Linked DNA regions of Coturnix japonica. The protein of the gene in region 1 interacts with the protein of each later gene in a pairwise test. Links are inferred from orthologs where the notes say so. Each region holds a gene or a part of one and is shown in the gene's direction. Other genes may lie near its edges.

Region 1 (4,286 bases):
GATTTTGCCCTTTTGACTGTAACTATTAACTGTTTTGACTTTTGACTGTAAATGCTCTTCAGCAGTGGACCTGAAAAAAGCTAATGCCCTCCCAAGCCAGCAGTTAACCATCCCACAGCACTTAGCATTGGGTTTGAGCTGTAGTAGTATCTGGGATGTGGCTGGAAATCAAATAGAACAGTTCAAACCCCCTGATTCATTGAGTTTGAGGAAAGAAACTTTACCTCTGAGCCTCAGTTCCCTTCATAAGTCAGGTGTTGCTCCTCATCTGGAAGTACTCCTTAAGATTCTGCTGTAGCCATTGACAGCTACCTTGAATGTCTCCAAAGTTACTGTAGAATAACAGCTGAGAGCTGTAATTTCTGGAGATGATGTGAAGGGTTGATTTTTGGGAGGCTTTAGGAGGGCTTTTGTGCAGGGTGCTGGGGGGGTTTTTGTGTGTATGTGTTTTCTTAGTGGCTTCAGTGGTCTGGGAAGCCCTGCTATGTAATCTGTCTTTCTTTGTTTCTCTTGGAGATCTCACAAAACAGCAGTATCATGTGATTCCTCACATGTTCCCAGAGCTTGAAATACCGGCTTTATTACAAGCAGATTTGTTAATCAAGCAAAAATGATACACTGTTCTCTAACTCCCTGAGCAGCTTAATTGCTGTGATGGGAAAGTGAATTATGCTTCTATGCTGCTATTCAAAAAATTACAGAATCTTGACACGTGGATGAACTCCTGCTGTGCGATGCAGCTTTCCTTAGATTTGTGACTGTTGATCTGGAATGAGCTGCATGCTTTTTGCTGGGGTGATGAGGGTTGAAACCAGCATGCTAAATACACACAACAGCTTGTTGGTAGGTCAGGCCCTGTAAAAGCGAGCCAGGCTTCAGCAAGGCTGGAGCAGACAATCGTTACCTAATTCCTATACTTCTGAATATACTATTTCTGCTGTGACTTCTTGCTTCTGGCATGTTACGTGCCCTCTGTGAGCAGCTTGTGGTGGATAATCTGCTTCATCCAGCTGTGTCGTAGGGACTCCAGGCTCTCCTGACATGTGCTTATTTCTTTCCAGGTCAGCTGTGCAGTGCTGCTCTGGGAGTTGAGTACATCCCTAGCAATCAGGTGTAACTGCTTTAAATCAATAATTTGCAGTTAGCAGCATAATTCAATAGACTCACACACATCCAGACCTGTAACATCTTTTGTCCAGTAAATAGGAGTTAGTTAAAAATCAGACCCTGGGGCAATGCAGGCTCTTCCAGCCTAAGGCTGCTGTTCTGGGTACTGTGAGCTGGCCCCATGGTTCTCTTTTGGGCCGTGGCACAGTGGCTCCAAGCATATTTCTCCTCATGTGGAACTGTATAAATGGGTCTGACAGTGCCCGGTTGTAGTTCTGTCTCCAGCTCCATCCTTGGAAACATCATTGCTTAGTAAACAGCCTTAGAGAAGAAAGTTGTTGTGAGAAATAAAAGCTGGTCTTATTCAATAGTTTTGGATACCGTAATATTTACTGAATGACAAATATTTTGTAGTAGCAATCCTGGAACATGCTTGAAGAAGCTCATTTCAGTCCTGTGTTTCTCACCCCTTCTCTTCTCCTCTTCTTCCAGATAATAGTAGATGATGATGACAGTAAAGTCTGGTCGCTGTACGATGCAGGACCCAGGAGCATTCGGTGCCCGCTCATATTTCTTCCTCCTGTAAGTGGAACTGCAGATGTGTTTTTCCAGCAAATTTTGGCACTGACTGGATGGGGTTACAGAGTTATTGCTGTGAGTATCATCTAGAAACCTTGAATGTGAGAATCAGTGTAACTTTGTAGCAGGAGGTTGACGTCTGATGATTAGAGACTGGCTTTTTGTGTCTTGTATATTGTTTCAGTTGCAGTACCCGGTGTACTGGGATCACCTTGAGTTCTGTGATGGATTCAGAAAACTGTTAGACCACCTTCAGCTGGATAAAGTGAGTGCCCAGAGATGGATATATAGCTGCCATAAAAACCTGATGCTTGAAGGCCTCATTTAAGAGCAAATGTGAAGTTCACAATGCAAAACCAGCCTATAAAGAGGCTGTGTTCTTTTGAAACTAGTTTATTTTTGAAAGGAAATTCCCTTGAAAATCTGACTGAATTCTCTGCTGTTGGAGGCTTATTACATTGGGTTGCTAACTGCATTTTTCTTTCTTGCTGAGATCCTGCTGAAGTTATCCTTCATAACTCACATTGTACAGAATATCACCATAAAGTACCTTGGATTGGAAAAAACATTGAATATAAAGTGAAATGATTACATTTTACTTAAGCACGATGAGCACACAGAAATTAGAAGCGTGATCAGGAAACGCTTCCTTTTTTTGGTATTTATCTCTTCTTGTAAATCAAAGAACCTACATTGAAGGCCTTTTTGTTCTGGTTTTGTTTTGTTTTGTTTTTCCAATTAAAAATGAGCTATAAGGACAAGGTAAAACTTGAAGGACTTTTTGTAACGTGGCCCTTAAGGGTCACTTAGTTCTCAAATGTAACATGACCTGTTTGTTTTGGTTTTCCTTTTTGAATTAGGTTCACCTTTTTGGAGCTTCTCTAGGAGGCTTCCTGGCTCAGAAATTTGCTGAATACACACACAAATCTCCCCGAGTTCAATCTCTGATTCTATGTAATGCCTTTAGCGACACTTCCATCTTCAATCAGACATGGACAGCAAACAGGTAAGGAAGACCGAGACAAGCAATGAGACTGGTGGCATTAATGTGTTTTCTGATGAAATTCCACACTGATCTGGTTCAACATGTGTTTAACTTGTTTTCAGCCTGCGTGCCTAATGGTGAGGGCTGGAATACATGTGACTTTTAAAACCATACTATAAAGGAAACAGAAGTTCTCACAATTGGGAGTGTGGAATTTGACAGACTCCTCCTGTATTTATTTCCTGTGATCATTTAAGGACGTGGTCAGACTTCAGAATTCTACTTGATTTCCAGCAAAACTTTTTAGAGTGAGGAAAGTGTTATTCACAATGTTTTTAATACACCCTTGCAATGCAGCAGCTTTCCAGAGCATTTCAGTCACATATCTGCAAGTTTTTCCATCTCTGCTCTTGAAGCATCTTCACGATTTCATTTGAAATTCTTGCACAAAAGTCAGTGCAAGAAAAGGGAAGACTTAAAAGAAAGCATCTTAATTCTGATTGTTACGTCTTGTTTCTGTTTTAGCTTTTGGTTAATGCCTGCTTTTATGCTGAAAAAAATTGTCCTTGGCAATTTTGCATCTGGTCCTGTAGACCCTGAAATGGCCGATGGGATTGATTTCATGGTGGACAGGGTAAGTGGCTGTGTGCTCCAATGGCTGTAATGTCAATCTTTGTGAGATATTCACTTAGTAGATGGGAGGTTGTAGATATTTCTGCTGCTTTCTTCATTTACTTACCCAGAAGTGAACAGTGGATGGATTCTCAGCAGGTGTTGGCTGCAACAGCTCTTGCAATTTAACTGGTGCTGTGATTTGTCTACCTTATTGTTCCATTTATCTATGTATATTGGAAGAGAGGTGGCTAAGAAAGAGATGGAAATGGGAATAAGTGCTGAGATAGTAGGCTATGCTCTAGAGGCAGGAACAATTAATTAAACGTTCTAAGTATTTGTCTCATGCAGCGAAATATTAAGATGGAACTATGATCTTCATCTGAAGTGCAGTCATGTTTCCCTTTAAAACTAAAGAGCTGTCTTCTCTTTGGCTCTGCTGTTATTATTGCATTAACTTCCTGCAGTGAAATATGTTATTAATCACAATTTGTCTCTACTGAAAGCTGGAGAGTCTGGGCCAGAGTGAGCTTGCCTCGAGACTTACCCTCAATTGCCAGAACTCTTATGTGGAACCTCATAAAATCCGAGACATCCCCGTAACTATTATGGATGTAAGTTTATTTCAGCTTAATTTTTTAAATACTTTTTTTTTTCTCCCAAACATCATTTCCTCCTCTTGGAAAGCAGGGCCTGGATATTGTGTTCACAACTTAATAAATATTTGCACCATCTAATTTTGTATTTAAATAGTTTTTCTACTGACTGGATAAGACAGCGGCTCTTCTGTGTTGAATTAATGGCTGTTACTGCACAGAACACCCAAATGTTTATCTATCAGTGTTAGCTTTCTAGTCACTGATGCTTAACTTGTTTGCTTGTTTTCTGTTTCATTAAAACTGCTCCACAGACAAGCTGGCAACTGCTTCTAGAAACAGGGTCTGTCAACTTGATTTAATAAGCAAAATCTGACTAGACTTAGAATTAACTGTTGTCACTTGTT
Region 2 (5,809 bases), on another chromosome or scaffold:
CAGGAGCGTTTATTTCCCGTCCTACTCACATTCCTCTGCCCTCACGGGTTTTTTCTCCCAGTTCAATGACCGCCAGCCTTTGTCTCGTGGTCTGGCAGAGCCTGGTGCCACGCACAGCAGGGACACAATGGCACACACTGCCTCTTCTCTCTGGGCCTGCTATGAAGACCTCACATTGTGTTAAACTAGGGAGAGAGAAAAGCAGAGGCCTGGAGCATTGTGCTCAGCTTTGGGCTATGTAAAACCCTCTGTTTCTCCAAAAATATCAGTCCAAAGTCTTAGCAAGAAAGCAGTGACCTGAGGAAAGTTTCCCTGAGGTCACAGTCTTCATTAAAAGGCCAGGACCATGAATTTTAAGATGAAAGAATTGGCGGCACGTTGCACATCGCTGACATGTTCAGAAATGCACCAGCTCCCAGCCTAGCACAGTCTGACACTTCACCTCCTCACAGGCCTCAAGGATTACTCACAACATTGGGCTGGAGTCAGGGGTGGGGTGTAGACTGATTCACACTGGCCAAGGACCCTGTACAAGGAACAAGGCAGAAACCTGGAGCTGCCCATTTGCAGAGGTGGGACATGGCCAAGGCTGAAGGCGCACATCTAACCCTGATAACAGGCAGGTTTCCAGCTTGGGTTGCATGGCAGTGTCACGCCATGCATGCTGTCATCCTTTACACCTCAATGGCCACGGCCCCTCCCTCACTACCCACAGCACCATCCAACATCCAATGCTGAATGGTAACCACAAGAATTTACGGCCAGCACTGTGGGCTTTTTGTCCTGAACTTTGCTCCATCTGATTTACACAAGTGTCACCCTGCAGCACAAAGGAACCCGGATCGCCCTGAAAGTCAACAGGAGGAAACTTTATTGCCAGACCCAAAGTAGAAGGCACCAAACACCCACTGACCTCGTGCATCAGACAACAGAAGCCAGTGTAGCATCTCTGTGCCACGCACGTCTTTCCAGCACAGGTTTGTGCAGTGGCTGTGAAGGAACCTGCCCGTGCCCCCTTTCCGTGCCTGGACCCGCTGTGCCGGACCCACCCTGGCCCTGACCGCCGGGATCAGGAGCTGGTGGAAGGAGCCACCACCCATTGCCAGCGCCCGGCGAGGGCTGCAGACCTTTGTGCGCAGTGCTGGGTGCGCCGTGTGTCTGCTGGGCATCCCCATGATGATGGCACCGTAAAGCCATCGGCGTGTTTATGAGGCAGCCGTGCCCGTCGGGTGTCAGGGTCCCGTATAAATACGGGGTGCCCGAGGCCGGCCCGGACAGCCCGTGTGCCGCGTGAGGACGCCGCCGGTCCCGCCGTGCTGTCCGTGCGGTCGGTTGTGCAGGTGCTGAGCGGCAGCGGCCGGCGGGGTGGGAGGCAGCAGGGCCGGCTCTTCGGTGGAGCCACGCGGCCCCGAGGCCGTGGGCCCGGCACGGGGCTCGGCTGTTCCTCGCCGCCCCGAGGGGCTGCGTGAGGCCGGGGTCGGGTTCTTTGCATCAGCGAGGGAAACCACGAGCCGGGGTGGTGCCGGGACTGCAGAGGGGAGGGCGGCTGCAGCTGGGACCCCCGGGAGGGTCGGGGTGGCCACGGGGACGTGTGTGGGACAGGCGGTGCCGTCCGTGCGGGGCCACACGTGGGCTGGAGCCCTGGGGCCACGGGGACGCCCGGCACGAGGGTCGCGCACGGCAGGCAGCGCTGACAGCGCGGTGCTTCCTTCCGTTGCAGCTCGGGGCCGTGAGAAGATGTCATCCCCACACCCAGGTGAGCGCCCGTGGGAAGGGCTCGGGCGGCCCTGGGGGTGCCCGCGCTGCCAGGCCGCTCCGTGCCCACGTCCCCTCCCGCTGCCCGCAAGCCCGGCCGCGCCCGGGTCCAGGAGCCTCCCACGGCGGCCGGGGCACTGCAGCTGCAGCAGAGCCGCGTGGCCGCCCCGCAGCCCTGACGCTCCCCTCTTCCTGCAGGGCCACACGGAGGGCCGCCGCCGCCACATCCCGGGCCTGGGCACCCACCTGCACCGCACGGCCCTCCCGGGCATCATCACCCGCCCGGCCATCATCCTCCCGGCCATCATCCGCCCGAGCATCACCCGCCCGAGCATCATCCTCCCGGCCATCACCCGCCCGGGCACCACCCGCCGGGCCCCCACCCCCACGGCCACCCCCACTAGGCGCTGAGCTCTGGCGGCAGCCGCCCCCGGCCCGGCTCCTTCTGCGTCCATCGGCCGCCCCATCGCCGCGCTGCCGCCGGGCTCTCCCTCCGGCCACGCGCGGCGGCAGCTGTGCCGGCAGCAGAAGCTCGGGCTCGGGTTGAGGTGCGCAATAAAAGTCCGCTCGGTGCCTCTGCGCTCGCTGTGTTTGGCGGACGGTCTCCGCGCCGCGTGCCGGCCCCACGTGCAGCAGATGAGCGCAGCGCAGGGCAGCGCCGCCGCTCGTCCGGGCGCGGGGAGACGGACGGAGCGACGGGGTTCGGGCTCCCGGCACACGGCCCGCCCCTCCGCGAGGCTCTGCGAGGGCACGGTCCGCCACGGGCGCCGTCGCCTCGGTTGTAGGCGCGGAACGGAGCGGCCGCGCAGCCCCTGCGCCGTGCGGAGCCCCCGGGCCGCGGGTGGGAGCGTCGCGCAGCTCCGCTGCTGCTCGTCGGCTCCGTGCGGGCAGAGCTGCGGCACGGCCACGCTCCGGCACCGCGCTGCTCAGTGCACGGGGTCTGCTTCCCCGCACTATTCACAACGGCCGCCTCCTGTAGCAGCCCCCACGGCCGCCGTGGGTCGGCTGGGCGCCGATGCGCGTCCGTGTGCCACTGCGCACAGCCCAGCCCGCTGTCGGGACGGCCCGGCCTCCCTTTGCCATTGGTCCCGGGCGCTGCGGCACGGGTGAAGCTCCACGCCCACGGGCATAAGAAGGCGGTCAGCCGCTGGGATGCAGCCGCAGCGTTGAGCATCGCCAAGGGAGGTGAGAAGGAATGGGGCTCTGGGTGGGGTGGGGGAGCAGCCGACGGGCGGGCTGGTTGGCTGGTTCGCCATGGTTCTCTGCCATTCCGGAGCTGAGATCTTTGCTCACCGCAGAGGCCGGTGCAGAGCTGAGTTAACCAATGGCAGACATTTACCCCTGCGGTATGTATTTAACGAGGACCGGACACCAAACCGTTGCGTTTTTTAAGCCCAGTGTAAATGCATTGAGCAGCTTCTGGGAAGGTGGATTTGCATCCCTCCCTGTCGGGTTATTTTTGTACGGATATCTGTGGAATCTGCAGGAATAGCTGAAATTATTGGTAGTCCTGCACCAGGTCAGATGTGCGAGGAAGGCAGGCAGAGGAGTTGCCCTTGTTTCTTTCTATTTGCAACTATCAAAATCGAATCCTCATGCCCTCCCGACTGTTCATTTGGAAGTGGGCCTGCAGGCAAGAAGGGCAGAGGTGTGGGCACCTGAAATAAAAGGGAAAGCAAAGCCTTTCTGAAATGCATCCCCCCACCCTTACCTGCTCCTGTCCCCAACTTGCCAAGGAAAGCAACGGGTTGACCAGTAGGAATAAAAGAGTTGGGTGAGGTGACAATATGCGTGATTAAACGGGTGCTCCATCAGCTGAGAATGTGGCACAAGGACACTGTCCAGTTCCTGCCGCACTTTGATAGTGGTTTGAGCCATCTGAAAGTGGGCTTCCTTCCCATGGGGAGCGCCAGGCAGCAGCACTGAGATGCAGCCCAGCCACGGTGAGACCTGGGGGAGGTCCAGCAGATCCAAGGCAGCTCTGAGCCAGAGCTGGAGCCCCATCCTGGGCACAGACCAGTGCTCTGTGCTTCCCGCAGCCCATTTCTGCTATGCAGGTTTCCCAAAGGGGACTGGCAACACAAGCTTAGCAAATGACCCTGTCCCAGCTGACAGCCAGCTCAGCACATATGGGAAACGCAAGAAGCCTCCAGGATTTTGCCACCCATCTCCTTCCAGTTTTCTCTCCCACGCTCTGCACACTCCTGTTGGTTCCAGGGAATGCACCTGTCCCACTGCCACCACTCCCTGTGTTGCAGCTCACCTGGAGCACTCAGAGCCAAGGCCCCTTAGAACCACAGATCCTGGGATCTTCTCTGAAGTGAGAGCCACTGGCAGAGCTTGCCTGTGCTGCTGTTGGGTGGGGGGTTGCAGCAGGGCTCTGATGCATCACTGCAGCCTAACCCTGCTGATGTGCCCGTCGCCTCCCTCTGATCTCAGGACTGTGCTGTGACCATGTCTGAGCTGGAGAAGGCCATGATTGCCATCATTGATGCTTTCCACCAGTACTCCGGGAAGGAAGGAGACAAGCATAAGCTGAAGAAATCGGAGCTGAAGGAGCTCATTAACAATGAATTAACTCATTTCCTTGGTGTGAGTATTGCCCTCTACATAGCACAGCTGGGCTCAGGCTCCAGCTCCCCAGGAGCAGGTGGTGGCAGGACAAAGCCTGTGTCAGGGCTGGAGGCTTGGGCTGGACACTAGGGAGATTTCATTCCCTGGGACGGTTTATCACCCTGTTTATCACCCTTACCCTGTGGGGCTCAAGGTGCCCTGGTAGGGCTGCTGTTAAGCAGATGCTACTACATCCATTTCTGCCCTTTCAGGAGATCAAAGACCAGGAGACCGTGGACAAAGTCATGGAGGCACTGGACAGTGATGGGGATGCAGAGTGTGACTTCCAGGAGTTCGTGGCCTTCATTGCCATGGTTACCTCTGCTTGCCATGAGTTCTTTGAGCACGAGTGAGCTGGTGAGAAGCAGCTGAGCAGCTCCCACTCACACTGGAGAGATGCAGAGCGGTACCACTCCTCTTGGGAGAAGACTGGATGCACCTGGGGGCTCCATGAAGTTAAGCTTGCGCTACTTAAGCAGCTTATTAAACTCTGCAGCTTTGTGAGCAGAAATGCCCATGCATCTTGGGAAAGCCTCTTAGACAGCGCCCACCTGGGATGGCATGTGTTCGAATGCCACATCTCAGGCTCACTCCCTGCTGCTGTGTGCAAGGGACAGGCAGCGGGCTGGAAGCAGGTGGCCGCTGCAATCCTTTAGGTTGCTGGCAAAGGGAAAAGGAAAATTCAAGGGGTGAGGCAGGGCGTGATGCAGAGAGGCTGGTTATAGAGGCCTGGCTCTGAGCCCATTGGCCTACACAGAAAGACTCTGTGATCTCTGTGGGCTCTGACTGCCCCACGCATGCTACTAACCCTGGAGCAGAGCCCATGCAGTCCTTGGCAACTTGAGAAACTCCTGGCTTGAAAGGCAAAGCATAACCATGTAACAGCCCAGGCTTTTCTCCTGCCTATGAATCCTCCTGCTTATAGCTGTCCGCAGAACTGGAAATGAAAGCATAGGAGGCTCCTGGGCTGGGCCTGAGGTGCACATTGGCAAGCTCTCAAGGCTCAGCCTGAAGGAAGGGTGAAATCCATATGTTATCAGCTGCAGCTCCAGAGTATGTGGAAACAATGAGAATAAAATGTTGGTCTTTGGGCCATAATGCGGTTCTGGTGAAAAATGAATCCTTTTGTCTCCGGGCTTTGTACACTTTGTGGCTGCTTTGAGTTGTCAAAGGTTGAGGATACAGCCTCGGAGCACCGCTGAAGTTCACATAGGCAGCCAGTTCATTTACCTGGGGTTCTCTTTCAGCTCCCATCACCTATCAGTCTGCAATTGCCATCTTGTGCTCCACCAATAACTGAAAAGGAGGTTTTGCTATCCTAAGGTAGTGCACATCCAAGTTACTTATTACGTTTCTGACATCCTCATCACTTGTCCACCACTGGTACAGACTGTACAGACCTGAGGACGTGTAAGGACAATGAATGAGGACTGATCAGACA
Region 3 (5,769 bases), on another chromosome or scaffold:
TGGAGAACCCAGAGCATCCCTGCACCAGCATCAGCAAGAGACTGCTCCGATCCAGAGCCAGCAAACCTACATGGTATGAGTGCCGTGCTTACTTTTGTGATCCCATTGTGAAAGGCTTTCATGGCCAGCACACCCGGCCCATCCACGTGCCTCCCATCATCCAGAGGCCCCCAGCTGGCGCTGTAGATATGGATGTGCTGCGGCTGCAGGCTGAGGGACCGAGCCTCCACGATGTCTGTGATGGGACCATCCAGCATCCTCACACCTAGAGAGATGATTTGGGTCTGGCCAGGACCCAGCCCTGCTCTGCAGCCATCAGCCACTGCTGGGTTACCACTCCTCCTTAACCCCTGTGCAGCTTTAACCCCACTTGGCCACCAAACCTGCAGCCAGTGGAGACAGAGCCCTGCCCTGCTGCAAGTCTGCAGCACCCTCTAGTGCTGCACAAGCCTTAAGCTTCCCCTGGAGCAGCACAGCAGCTGGGAAACCCTCAGGGCTTCACATCCACCAAACACCACGCAGGGAGGGGAACACTGATGGTGTCCAAAGCATTGCTCTGAAGCCCCATGTCCTGCAGCTTTGCAGCACTGTGGGGTCAGCCTGAGGCTTGCAGCAGGAATTGCTCACCTCCAATCTTTGCATTGTATGCAATGCCTGCACCGCAGATCCCGTTGTTGGCTACGGCTGCTGCCTCTCCTGCACAGCGTGTCCCATGTCTAAGGGGCAGACACAAGAGATCCATCCTTGAAGGGGGCTGAGTGAGTGGGGTGGGCTGTGGGGGTTTCAATGCAGAACCAGAGGATTCAACTCACCTGTTCTCACCCCAGGTGTCGTACCTGGGCTGGGGGTCAGGGTCGTTGCTGTTGAAGTCGTAACTCGCGAGAGGATCCTAATGCAACAAGGGCTACCAGTGGGACCAAAGCACGTTGCCAAGAGGCAGCCAGCCAGCACAGGGAGGTCCCTGCATGCCCACTGACTGCATTGGCCTCGCCTGAACCTGCAGGGCTCATTTAAACCCACGCTGCTCTGAACTGATTAAGGTTCCCCTGTTCTCTTTGCTCTCTGAGCACGTGAGGCTTTACAAGCCCTACTTGCTTTGCAGCTTGCTGTAATTACATCTGACTATTCTGGGGGCTCAGCCGTACACAAGTTCTAACATTTCCTTGCTGTGAGAAATGATGGCAGAGAAGCAGAGCCCTTTGATCCCACCCCATATCCCAAGGGCTGCAGAGCTGCACCATCCCCTCCCAGCCCCAAAACTCAAAGCTCTGCCCAAGGGGGGAGCTTGGTTACGTAGTTAGGAGCCAGGTCAGGGTGATCCTTCTCAATTCCATCATCCAGGATGGACAGCACGACCCCTCGGCCGGTGAAGCCTTTGCTCCAAGCAGAGAGGATGTTGAGATCAGGGCTGATGTCGTTGTTCTGGACAAGGGATTGGGATGGATCAGTGCATCCTGCTGCCTCATCACTGCTGGCATTAGTCCTGCTTATGCTCAGGGCAGGTGATTGAGGACATTGGGATTAGATGGGAGAGCAGCACCATCTCACCATGTACCACTGCTTGGGGAACCAAGGGTCTGTGGGCACCACGTTGATGCTCCTCTTGGCTCTGATCTTCACTGTTTGCTGCTCAAACCAAAGAACCTGGGTGGGAAGCAGCGTTGTTGGCACTATGTGTGTTCCCATAAGGGTGCCCTGGTCTAATGTGCAGCCCAGCCCCTACCTGTGGTTCCCTGCTCAGCCTCAGGCTCCAGCCCCAGTGCCTGCTCAGGGATGTCTGCCTGGAGCCACGGTGTTGGAAGTGATAGTAGGGCTCTCCATCCAGCACCTGCAGTGAGGGCTGAGCTCAGGGGGCTGCATGGAGATGGGCAGAAAGAAATGGGGGGGGGGGGATGCCAGTTCAAAGTCTGCTGGGCTGCAGGGTGGGAAGGATGCTTTGGGATCATGGAGTGACTGTAGGGGCTGGGAGGGACTTCTAGAGGTCATTGAGTGCATTCCCCTGCCAAAGCAGGCTCCCTGCACCACGATGGTGCTGGAAAAGGGGCTGCTCTGCACCATGCACGGGCTCCCTCTCCTACCTATGCTTGTAGCAGGTAGCTGTGCAGCCCTATAGGACCCCATATACCCCATACACAGCCCTACAGCGGGTCGGACCTCACCTGCCCCACGCAGATCAGCCCGTACCGCTGTGCCAACAGCCCCGCATCCCTCTGCCCCTCCGCGACCAACACAGCCCAGCTGCTCAGATAAACGCTGCTCGGAGCGTCGTGCGGACCCGCTGTGAGCCCCAAACCCACCCCCAGCCCCACACCCAATAACACCCCCAGCCCCCACGCCCCCCCTATGCCGTGCGGTGTCGCCATGCCCTGCGCTCTGCGTGCGTTACCATAGAGCTGGAGACGCCACCTGCCCGTCCCTCCCCGCTCCGCCCCGCACAGAACCGGGACCGCATAGGGCCGAGCGGGGCCCGCAGCCATGGGGACCGTCCAGCAGCGCCTGCAGCGCTTCCTCGACCGACCCGGACCGATCTCCGACCTCTTGGGCCGCCTGGAAGCCCGGACCGGTGTCCGCCGGTTTTACCTGGCTACAGGTGAGCCCGCAGCCCCACCGCGTGGACCCCTTCCCCTTCAGCCCCCTTCCCCTATTCCGGGTCCACCCCAGCCCCCTCCCCTTATTCCGGGTCCCCTTCAGCCCCCTCCCCCTATTCCGGGTCCCCCCCCAGCCCCGTGCTGCGCTGACAGCCCCACACTGCCCACCCTGGGGAAGGGAGGAAGCTGCCCAGGGGAGCCGTTGGTTATTTAGGGGAGGGGGTGTCTTCCTCTTCCCCCCCTTCGATCCCAGCCCCACATGGTGGGCTTCACAGAGCCCTGCCCTGCCCAGTGTTGCTCCCCACATCCCCCTGCCCTATGGAAGCCTGGCTGTAGCATGGAACCAAGCCCCCAACCCCCAGCAGGAGGGCAGAGGTCTGTTCGTTAACCAGCTGCTGTTTGTTCATTAACGAGAAACAAGTGATATCTCCCCACGGAGCCGATCCCGGCACCGTTTGACCCCCTCGGTGAGGCTGTCACCTCAACCTTGGCCATTTCTGTGCCTTGGCTGCGTTTATGACTTGCCATCTGCCTCCACGTTGCCATATGGAACCTCCTTATGGGGGGGGGGGGGGTCTGGGTTTCCCTGCTGTGCCCCCAGCCTGATTCCTGGCCCCACGGCTCCTATAGAGCTTTGGTTGCTCTGCTGGGATCTGACACGTGTTTGGAGCGCTGGTTCTGGGGCTCTGGTTGCACTTTGGGCTGTGGGTGACAGGGATAGAGCAGAGTTGTTGTTCCTGCAGCTCAGCTCCGATGTCTGGAAAGGAGAAGCTGATGCTCAACAACAAATATCGGGTTTCTTCCTCCCTTCCCCCCCACCCTGCAGCAATCCCTCAGCCCAGAAGGGGCTGCTCGGTATCTTATAAAGCAGCCACAGACCCAACAGCTGCCTCTGTAAAGGGTAAAGGGCACCAAGGAGGAGGACAGCATCCCCTCTGTGCCACATCTGCTTGTGGATGGGGATAAACCTTTGCCAAGCTCTCCATTCAGTGCTGCAGAGATGAGGCTTCACTGACCTCCTGTCCTGTATGGGAGGCAGAGATGGGGCTCTGGGTGTGGGAGCCTTGGAGCAGCTCCTCCACCAGCCTGATCAGGACCCATAGGACACAGAATCCCTTCCTCCTCCTCCTGTGTTCACATTGTGGGTTTAGGACCCCGGGATGTGTCTCCTTCCTGCCCTCCTTCACACAAGGCTCCTCTGTGTTCAAAGCTGAGCCTCTCCTTTGTGTTTTGCTCTTACATAAATTTCTCCGGGGCTAAACTTAGCCTGTGCAATCCATTCTAAGGCTCTTTAGGGAATGAAACCCGGAGCTGCCTGAACCTGCCTGCTTATTTCCCTTGGAGGGGGAAGCTGTAACTGCTCCCACCAGCTGGGAACAGCGCCCAGCTCCCTTTGCAAAGCCCAGAGGTGCCCATATGAGCACAGAGCATGGAGCAGATCTGCTGCTGTGAGCAGCACAGGGATGAGCCCTGTGTCCTCTGTGCCCCTTCCCTCTGATTCACTGCCACAGACAGGCTAAGTCCCAGCTCTCTTGCCCTGCTGTAGGATAAGGTGCTTAAGCTGCTGCTAAGCAGGAGCTGAGACACCATTGGGGTGGCTGAACTCTTGGCTCTATCCTGCAGGCTCCTTGGCTTTCGTGGGGCTGTACCTGGTGTTTGGCTACGGTGCCTCATTGGTCTGCAACCTCATTGGCTTTGCCTACCCTGCATATGTCTCGTAAGTACTGACCCTACAGCTCTGGATGGTCACTCCTGAAACACTGGGGAGTTGTTATGGGGCTCATTGCCAGGCCTGGAGATATGGGAACAAACCAGTAATTGATGTCCTCCATCCCATAGCATCAAAGCCATCGAGAGCTCCAGCAAGGAGGATGACACCACGTGGCTCACATACTGGGTGGTGTACGGTGTCTTCAGCATAGCCGAGTTCTTCTCTGACATTTTCCTCTACTGGTTCCCCTTTTATTATGCTGGGAAGGTAACGACTTCATGGGGGCACAGGGGAGACCCCCCCTTTGATGGCTGAGCTCTTGTGGTTCATGTATTGAGCTCTGGGGCTTCCTCTGGGCACCTTTGGCAGTACTGGGATGCCCATACAATCCAGCTCTGCAGCATCTCTTCCCCTATAGTGCCTGTTCCTGGTGTGGTGCATGGCCCCAGTGTCCTGGAATGGCTCCCAAGTGCTTTATCACAGCATCATCCGACCCTGCTTCCTCAAACACCACCGTGCTGTGGACTCGGTGCTCAGCGACCTCAGCACCAAAGCACTGGATGCAGCCTCTGCCATCACTAGAGAAGGTAACGTGGGTCCAACCCTCATCATGGGGCAGCTCTCAGTGCCCCACACCCCTCCTGTATCCCACCCCATATCCCCACAGTGATGGCAGCCCGGCCCTTCTCTTTATCTTTCTTCTTCCTACGCCTCCTGGAGCAGTTCTACACACTCTGCTCAGCAGCAGAGCCCGGCTGGCTGCCCAAGTCACCCCGCAGCTCAGCGTGTCTGTATGTAACAGCCATATCCCATAGCCCAGGTCCTGCTCCTATAAGCCCCGGTCCTATAAGCCCCTCTCCTATAACCCCCTCTCCTATAACCCCCTCTCCTATAACCCCCTCTCCTATAAGCCCTGCTCCTCCAGACCCCTTTGCTTTAGCCCACCCACTGTAGATATAGAGCAGGCTCTCCTCACCCCCCAACCCCCCCATCTCGGTGGTCTCAATGCAGGTCCCGACCCTCACCCTTCTCTCTTTCTATCCCGCAGCCGGGGCCGCCGTGAAGTTGGCACAGGAAGCGAAGAACAAATAAAGCACCGGGACAACGCCGGCCTCAACCCGTTCCCTGCTCCCCCGGCCCATCCGCGTCTCGGTTCCCCCCCCCCTTTTTCCCCCCCCTCCCCAAAGTAAAGCTGTTCCCCATCCACTCCCGTCTGTCGCGGCGCCTTTAAGAGGGGGCGTGGCTTCGTGGTGGCGCGGTTGTGACGTCATTAGTGCGCGGGAGAAGGAGGGGCGCGCGCGCGGGAAGGTGGAGGTACGGCAACCAGGAAGAGGGGGGGGGGGGGGGGTCTGTCTGTCCGTCTGGTTTCCTGGCGGGTGAGTGTCCGTCTGTCCCGGCTGTGAGCCCCCCCCTACCCCCCCCAGAGCCCCGCCATGAGCTCCAAGGCCAAACGGGTCCTGCCCACCCGCC
Region 4 (5,956 bases), on another chromosome or scaffold:
CACCATTCCCCATGCTGACATAACAAACGGTGCTTGACACTGACTGGGACGGCTATTTATAAAGCTGGGGATGGATCGAAACCTTAGGAAAGCCAAGAGGTTTTTTAACACCACAGAGAGCCCGAGAACGTCACTGACAGCCAGCACTTCTACCAGCAGCTCTGCAGCCGGTGCTGAGCTCTCAGTACCATCTAGTGGGCAATCAGCATGGCAGTGGAAAGCAATGGTTGCTTACATACTGCTGTTGTCTGTGACCAGGCAGGACTTTCCATGAGCTTCTAATTCCAAGTCTGCACTGCTTCTTATCATAGAATGGACTGGGTTGAAAAGGCCCACAGTGCTCATCCAGTTCCAACTCTCTGCTATGTGCAGGGTCACCAAGCAGCAGCCCAGGCTGCCCAGAGCCACATCCAGCCTGGAACACTGTTTCCTATGGTTTAGTCCTTTTCCTGACAACAGAACGTGGGTTCAGTGTTGCTGTGTGTAGCTGTGTGGTATGGGTGACCTCCATTCCTAAACACAACCCGCCTGGAACCAATGGGATATCTATGATCAAGCGATTTACCTCCTTCAAAGGAAAGAACAGAGTGTTGTAATAGAGTCAGTAAGGATCCGGAAACAAGACAGCTCTCATTTGATCCTCAAGGGTTTGATAGTAGCAGGGGATTTATCTGAAAATAATCCCTGTGGAAAAGAAAGATGATAGAGGCAGAGAAGCAGCAGAAAAGGAGCAGCCAGCAGAAATGCATCCAGAGCATATGATAAGGTTTTCTGAGTTGTTAAGTGGGAGCTTTGGAAAGCAGACTGACATCCGAATGCCCTAAGAGTGGAGGTGAGCCATAGCTCATAGCAGTGAATGTGTTGGATGTGGTGAATTCCAGCACCAAAGGGCAGACTTGTGCTGCTCCTACCCAGTGTCATTCATTAACTGGATGGCCCACAAGGCAGAGAGAAGGAAAACAAAACTCGCAGCCAAACGCTTTGAGCATGGAAATGGGTCCTGGGGGAAGTGGTGGTGATTGAGCAGCAATTGTATGCAGGAATGTGCCAAGAGAGGGAAAAGGGCTGCTTGTATTGATTGGCATGGCCATGAAATCCCATGGCGTGAATGAGCTGCTTAAAGCTTCCTGGACAATATATTCCTAGGCCATGGAACACAGCTCCATTTCTGATTCAGTGAACCTCCAGGCTGTCGGGTAAATAAAAGGGGAGCAGTGCCATTCCTTTCAGCATCTCTGCAGCTGGACACCAATGCATTTCCAAAGGGGAACACAGCAGCTCAGGCTCCCGGATGGTTCCTCCCAACACCAAAGCCAATGAGTACCACTCTATGAGGTAAAGCAAATGGCAATTAAATACAGTTCCTTAGGCTGTAAGTGGGTAATTCAGTTGATTACATTTGCCTTTCGATCTGAAGCAAGCCACGTTGGATTGGGCACTTAAAAATACTCCCATCCACCTTCACATCCAGTCCTTTTCCAGAGTGCCCCTTTGACAGCCAGACTGGAGCCTATGGATTTCAGCCACCCAACCCCTGCCTGCCTCCAGCTGAAGGCAGATCCACGTAAACCTCTCTTCAAAGCTGGAGGAGGGGAACCTCCCGAGCAAGCTCCATGGCTTTGTTTGACTTGGCCTTAGCTGCAGGCTGCTTAAAAGCTCCTTGATAAAGAAAGCCCTCTCGTTATCCTGTGCTAAGAGCAATAAATGGTTAAGATGGATGGACTTTTGTCCTGTAACCACCTTGCTGTCCAACACCCCGTTTGAGCCAAGGCTGAGGGAAATGGCTGGGAATCAAATATGTCCAGGCCTGGAAGTTACCCATCCCAGATCCTTCAGGAGGCAGCAGACCCTCTGCAGGCTGTGTGCAGGGAGGGGAGGCCTCCAGGCTGTTGTTGCAATATAGAGATTTATCACCGAAATATAGGGGCAAAAATCCATTATTATCCCACAGGATATCCAGAGTGAGGAGAAGTCTGAACCAGAATCACACAGCCAAGGGGGCTCGTGCAGCCATTAACCCCGGTTACTGTGAGATGTGAAGCCGCCATATGGTAAGAAGGACAAACACAGAAGGGCTGAAGCGCAGTTGTTGTTAATACGGGGTAATGGCAGCCATGAGCTTTTGGAGCAGCGCTGTCAGCAACACCCACACATCTGATGTGAGCGGCCGTGCAGACCATCTGACTGCTGTTTTCTGACTTTATTAGCGAAATGAGGCGTTTTTAGCATCAAACTGGAGGCAAAGGGCCGCAGCCCGCCCTTCCCGCTCTCCTCCACGGCCACTTCCCAGCCCTGAGGCGGGGGATCCATCATGGCGGCCGCAGGGGGGTGGGGGGGCGCCAAGCGCGTGGCCAACTCTACCCCCCCCAACCCCCCTCACATTCCCGCGGCCCCTCTGGCCAATCGCCGGGCAGGCGGACAGGCAGCGACCAATCACACGCCTCCTCCTGCCTTCCGCCCCGCCCACTTGGGGAGCACGCGCGCACACCTCGCCGCTCCCCAGGGAGGGCCGTTGTTTGGGCGCTCGGCAGAGCAGGCCAAGCCCCGCCCACCGCGCCCTGCACGCCATTGGAGGGTCGCGGTAGGACCCGCCCCCGGAGGCGGCGTAGCCAATGAGAGAGCGCCAAGGCGTGTCCGTTGGGGCGCGAGGAGTCTATAAAGGGCCCGCGCGGCTGGCGGGAAGGGGTAAGATGGCGGAGTAGCCGCGGCCGGCGTGGCCTGCGCTCTCCTCGCCGCGTCCCCTGTCAGGAGGCGGGTGGATCCCAGCGCCGCAGCGGGCCGCGGTGCGAGGCGGAGCGGGGAGCGGCACGAGGGGAAGGAGGAGGGCAGCGCTCCCGCCGCCGCAGCCGCCGCCATGCCCAACATCAAGATCTTCAGCGGGAGCTCGCACCAGGACCTGTCGCAGAAGATCGCCGACCGCCTGGGCTTGGAGCTGGGCAAGGTGGTGACCAAGAAGTTCAGCAACCAGGAGACATGGTGAGGAGGGGGCGGGGCCAAACTACAGCTCCCGGCGGGCAGCGCGCCGGCCACGGAACGTTTTCCGCCGAGCTCGCCGCGCGGGGGCTGCTGGGAGTTGTAGTGCGCAGCGGGGGGCGGCCGCGGCCCGAGGGGAGGGGAGGGGAAGGGAGGGGAGGGAGGGGAAGGGAGGAGAGGGCCGCTGGGGGTGCGGGATCCGGGATCCGGGCTGGGCACGGCGCGGGGATAACGGGGCCAAATGACGCCGGGGGAGCGGGGATGGGCCGCCCCCTGCACGACATGTGGCGGCTCAGGGCCGGACTGTGCGTCCTCTGGGGCCGGGGCGGGGCTGGAGGTGCGTGCAGGTGTGCGGGGAGGAACACACACACACATACACATATACACATATACACATATACACACACAGACACACACACATATACACACACAGACACACACACATACGGCCCTGGAAGCGGCGGCCTCGTTGTGTCTGTGGAGTTAAGGAGAAAGGAGAGGTTAAGGTGCCACGATAGGAAATATCTCGAGGAAAGCAGCTGTATGTGCCATATCCGGGGTGATACGGGAATCCTGAGTGGTTGCCCAGAAGTCTCAGACACGAGTTGTTTCCATTACGTGCTGTTGTAACTGCTGCCATGATGCCGTGCACATAGGTGTGATAAGGCTCCATGTGATGTACAGTGGTGCCGTGGCTCTGTCCTCATGTCCCTGTCCCTCCCAGCAGGTCCCTGTGTGAGCACTGATGTAGGTTCTGAACATCCAATGGATCTTATTTACCTCCATCAGCTCAGGGCCCATGCTGGAAAAGAGCAGAGCGGTTCGGTTGTACTCACACTCTTGAATGAGCTCTAATGTTAAGCTCTGGTATTAAAGTGCAGTGGAAAATGACACCGTGTGCTGTTAGTTCAGCCCAGTTTAGCCCATTGGGAAGGTCTCCACGATAGCCTGGAGCAGCTTGTGAGCAATAAGCACGGCAAGATGTCTGGAGTTAGCAGTTTGCTGGTGGAGGTGGAGCAGCAAGGCCAGGTGTTCAGCAAAAGCAAGCTGAAGGGGGAAGATGAGATGGTAAATGAGTAACGTTAAAGGTCTATCTTCAGGTACTCTGAGCACAGAGCTGTTGGGGGGTGGGGGTGGTAACCACCCTCCCACATGCTCCTGTAGTTTGCTGCAGGATGTGGGCATCCCCAGCACTGGAAGAAGCTGGGGGAGGATTTATCCTCTCTCGAGTGACTCTGGGTTCCTTCCACATCTGTGACAGGCTTCTCTGAACTTCACTGTTGCAGCACTTAGGGCTTCATCTTGGACAGCATTTCTACAGAGCTGAGAAGACCTGAGATGGCTGCATGCCTTCCAGCCCCGCTTTGGGTGCGGGTGTCTCAACACACGTTGGAGCTGCCGGCGTGCTGCTGGCAAACAGGACCTTTGGCTTGTGTTCAGTGCCTTCATCAGCAGGGATTAGTGTGCATTACATCTAGGAGGAAATTAACCCCAAAAGCCTTTCCAGAGTGAAAAGCTGGAGGGCTTCTCTGTTCAAGGCAGTGAAAAGCTGTTAGGGCTCTAATAGAATAATCTGCTGCAGCACGGCTTCTGTTGGAAGCTTGGCTTGGCTTTCCCTGCTGACTGGCCATCATCCCTGCTTTGTAGTTCTGTGATTTGGGGGGACAGGAACTGTTTGAGGGTGGGGTTTACATGCTCAGATTGCATAGAGATTAAAAGCAGAGGCCGAGCGCTTTCAGCCTTATTGAACCATTAAATGTGAGCAGTGAGTACTATGAAATAGCTACTGAGCAAACAAGCAACAGTGTTCGTGCCAAACACCCGTGATTACATGGTGCTGTCACCCACAGACCCTCAGGACTGCAACCCCTTGGTCTCTGTGCAGGCCTATGTAACAACTGCAGCTTTAATTTCTGTTTAGATCCAACTCTTCTTTCCCCATCTGTTTCCAGTGTGGAAATAGGCGAGAGCGTACGTGGGGAGGACGTCTACATTGTGCAGAGTGGCTGTGGGGAAATCAATGACAATCTGATGGAGCTCCTTATCATGATAAATGCCTGCAAGATTGCCTCAGCCAGCAGAGTCACAGCTGTCATCCCTTGCTTCCCTTATGCTCGGCAGGACAAAAAGGACAAGGTAAGGGATTCAAGAAGGGGTTCTGCTGGGGGAAGATATGTGCACGCTTGGAGAGGCCGGCAGGCCTGCCTGGCTGCCAGGGTTTAGCTGGAATTGAATATGTGGAGGAAGAGATAAAACTTAATTTAACTTAAACCTGAGGGCATCGAGCTGCAGATTCATCTCCACAAAGATGCTTGGAAATACACCAACCTGTAATCAAAGCTGATGAAAAGATGTGGTGTTAATGAGTACTTTTAGTAGCTGCTTGTGAATCATTGCCTAGAGGTGGAGGACTCACATCTTGATGAAGGAGTTAAACTTGTCTTAAATAGTGTTGTGTTCTGTTTTTCTGTCCCAGAGCCGAGCCCCGATCTCTGCCAAGCTGGTTGCAAACATGCTGTCTGTGGCAGGAGCAGATCACATAATCACAATGGACCTGCACGCATCTCAGATTCAGGTAGGAACTGAAATCAGGAAGCACTTAGCTGCTCCCATCTCAGCCTGTTTACTGCCTTGCAGGCTTTCCTGTCATCTGCTTTTTTTAGCTACAGCAGCAGTCAGCAGTTAAGAGCACAGGGCTGGAAGGGAGTTGTAGGGTCAGTTTGAAGGGGGGTGGGGAGGTGGGCAGTAGGTTCCTCTGTAAATAAGATCGTAGCTGCTCTCAATTAGACCAAGTGTAACAAGCCATGTATAAATGATGGCTTAGTAAATGATCCGTGCAACGTGGTCACCTTATGGGGGCACTCTGTGTTCTTAATTGGTCCTGGGAGGAGTTTCAGATGGAGAATGGTTTTATTTAGTGCTCTTAAATATTGAGCAGAACTTCCTGATGCAGGAAAGTCAGGGAGGAGCAAGCAGCGCTGCC

What was found. The genes of interacting proteins can lie anywhere in the genome.
Region 2: the proteins of SPG21 (region 1) and S100B interact in binary tests that used the Homo sapiens proteins (3 or more experiments, as listed by UniProt). The two-hybrid records come from large-scale screens. The link is inferred for Coturnix japonica from reciprocal best matches to the Homo sapiens genes SPG21 and S100B.
Region 3: the proteins of SPG21 (region 1) and REEP6 interact in binary tests that used the Homo sapiens proteins (3 or more experiments, as listed by UniProt). The two-hybrid records come from large-scale screens. The link is inferred for Coturnix japonica from reciprocal best matches to the Homo sapiens genes SPG21 and REEP6.
Region 4: the proteins of SPG21 (region 1) and PRPS1 interact in binary tests that used the Homo sapiens proteins (3 or more experiments, as listed by UniProt). The two-hybrid records come from large-scale screens. The link is inferred for Coturnix japonica from reciprocal best matches to the Homo sapiens genes SPG21 and PRPS1.

What each region holds. Positions count from the first base shown.
Region 1 is NC_029525.1:16,061,797-16,066,082, reverse strand, and holds part of SPG21 (maspardin), read left to right. Parts: intron 1-1,599; coding exon 1,600-1,761; intron 1,762-1,870; coding exon 1,871-1,951; intron 1,952-2,546; coding exon 2,547-2,692; intron 2,693-3,196; coding exon 3,197-3,305; intron 3,306-3,789; coding exon 3,790-3,897; intron 3,898-4,286. UniProt on the Homo sapiens protein: May play a role as a negative regulatory factor in CD4-dependent T-cell activation.
Region 2 is NC_029522.1:2,450,073-2,455,881, reverse strand, and holds S100B (protein S100-B), read left to right. Parts: upstream 1-2,515; 5' UTR 2,516-2,940; intron 2,941-4,194; 5' UTR 4,195-4,209; coding exon 4,210-4,347; intron 4,348-4,580; coding exon 4,581-4,721; 3' UTR 4,722-5,473; downstream 5,474-5,809. UniProt on the Homo sapiens protein: Small zinc- and- and calcium-binding protein that is highly expressed in astrocytes and constitutes one of the most abundant soluble proteins in brain.
Region 3 is NC_029543.1:2,272,577-2,278,345, reverse strand, and holds REEP6 (receptor expression-enhancing protein 6), read left to right. Parts: upstream 1-2,475; coding exon 2,476-2,590; intron 2,591-4,211; coding exon 4,212-4,305; intron 4,306-4,427; coding exon 4,428-4,566; intron 4,567-4,717; coding exon 4,718-4,886; intron 4,887-5,022; coding exon 5,023-5,114; 3' UTR 5,115-5,129; downstream 5,130-5,769. Other genes in the region: PCSK4 (proprotein convertase subtilisin/kexin type 4), read right to left, coding at 93-265, 628-716, 813-889, 1,294-1,422, 1,549-1,644, 1,724-1,828, 2,160-2,477; C28H19orf25 (UPF0449 protein C19orf25 homolog), read left to right, coding at 5,733-5,769. UniProt on the Homo sapiens protein: Required for correct function and survival of retinal photoreceptors. Required for retinal development.
Region 4 is NC_029519.1:1,920,925-1,926,880, forward strand, and holds the start of PRPS1 (ribose-phosphate pyrophosphokinase 1), read left to right. Parts: upstream 1-2,662; 5' UTR 2,663-2,854; coding exon 2,855-2,976; intron 2,977-4,925; coding exon 4,926-5,109; intron 5,110-5,449; coding exon 5,450-5,548; intron 5,549-5,956. UniProt on the Homo sapiens protein: Catalyzes the synthesis of phosphoribosylpyrophosphate (PRPP) that is essential for nucleotide synthesis.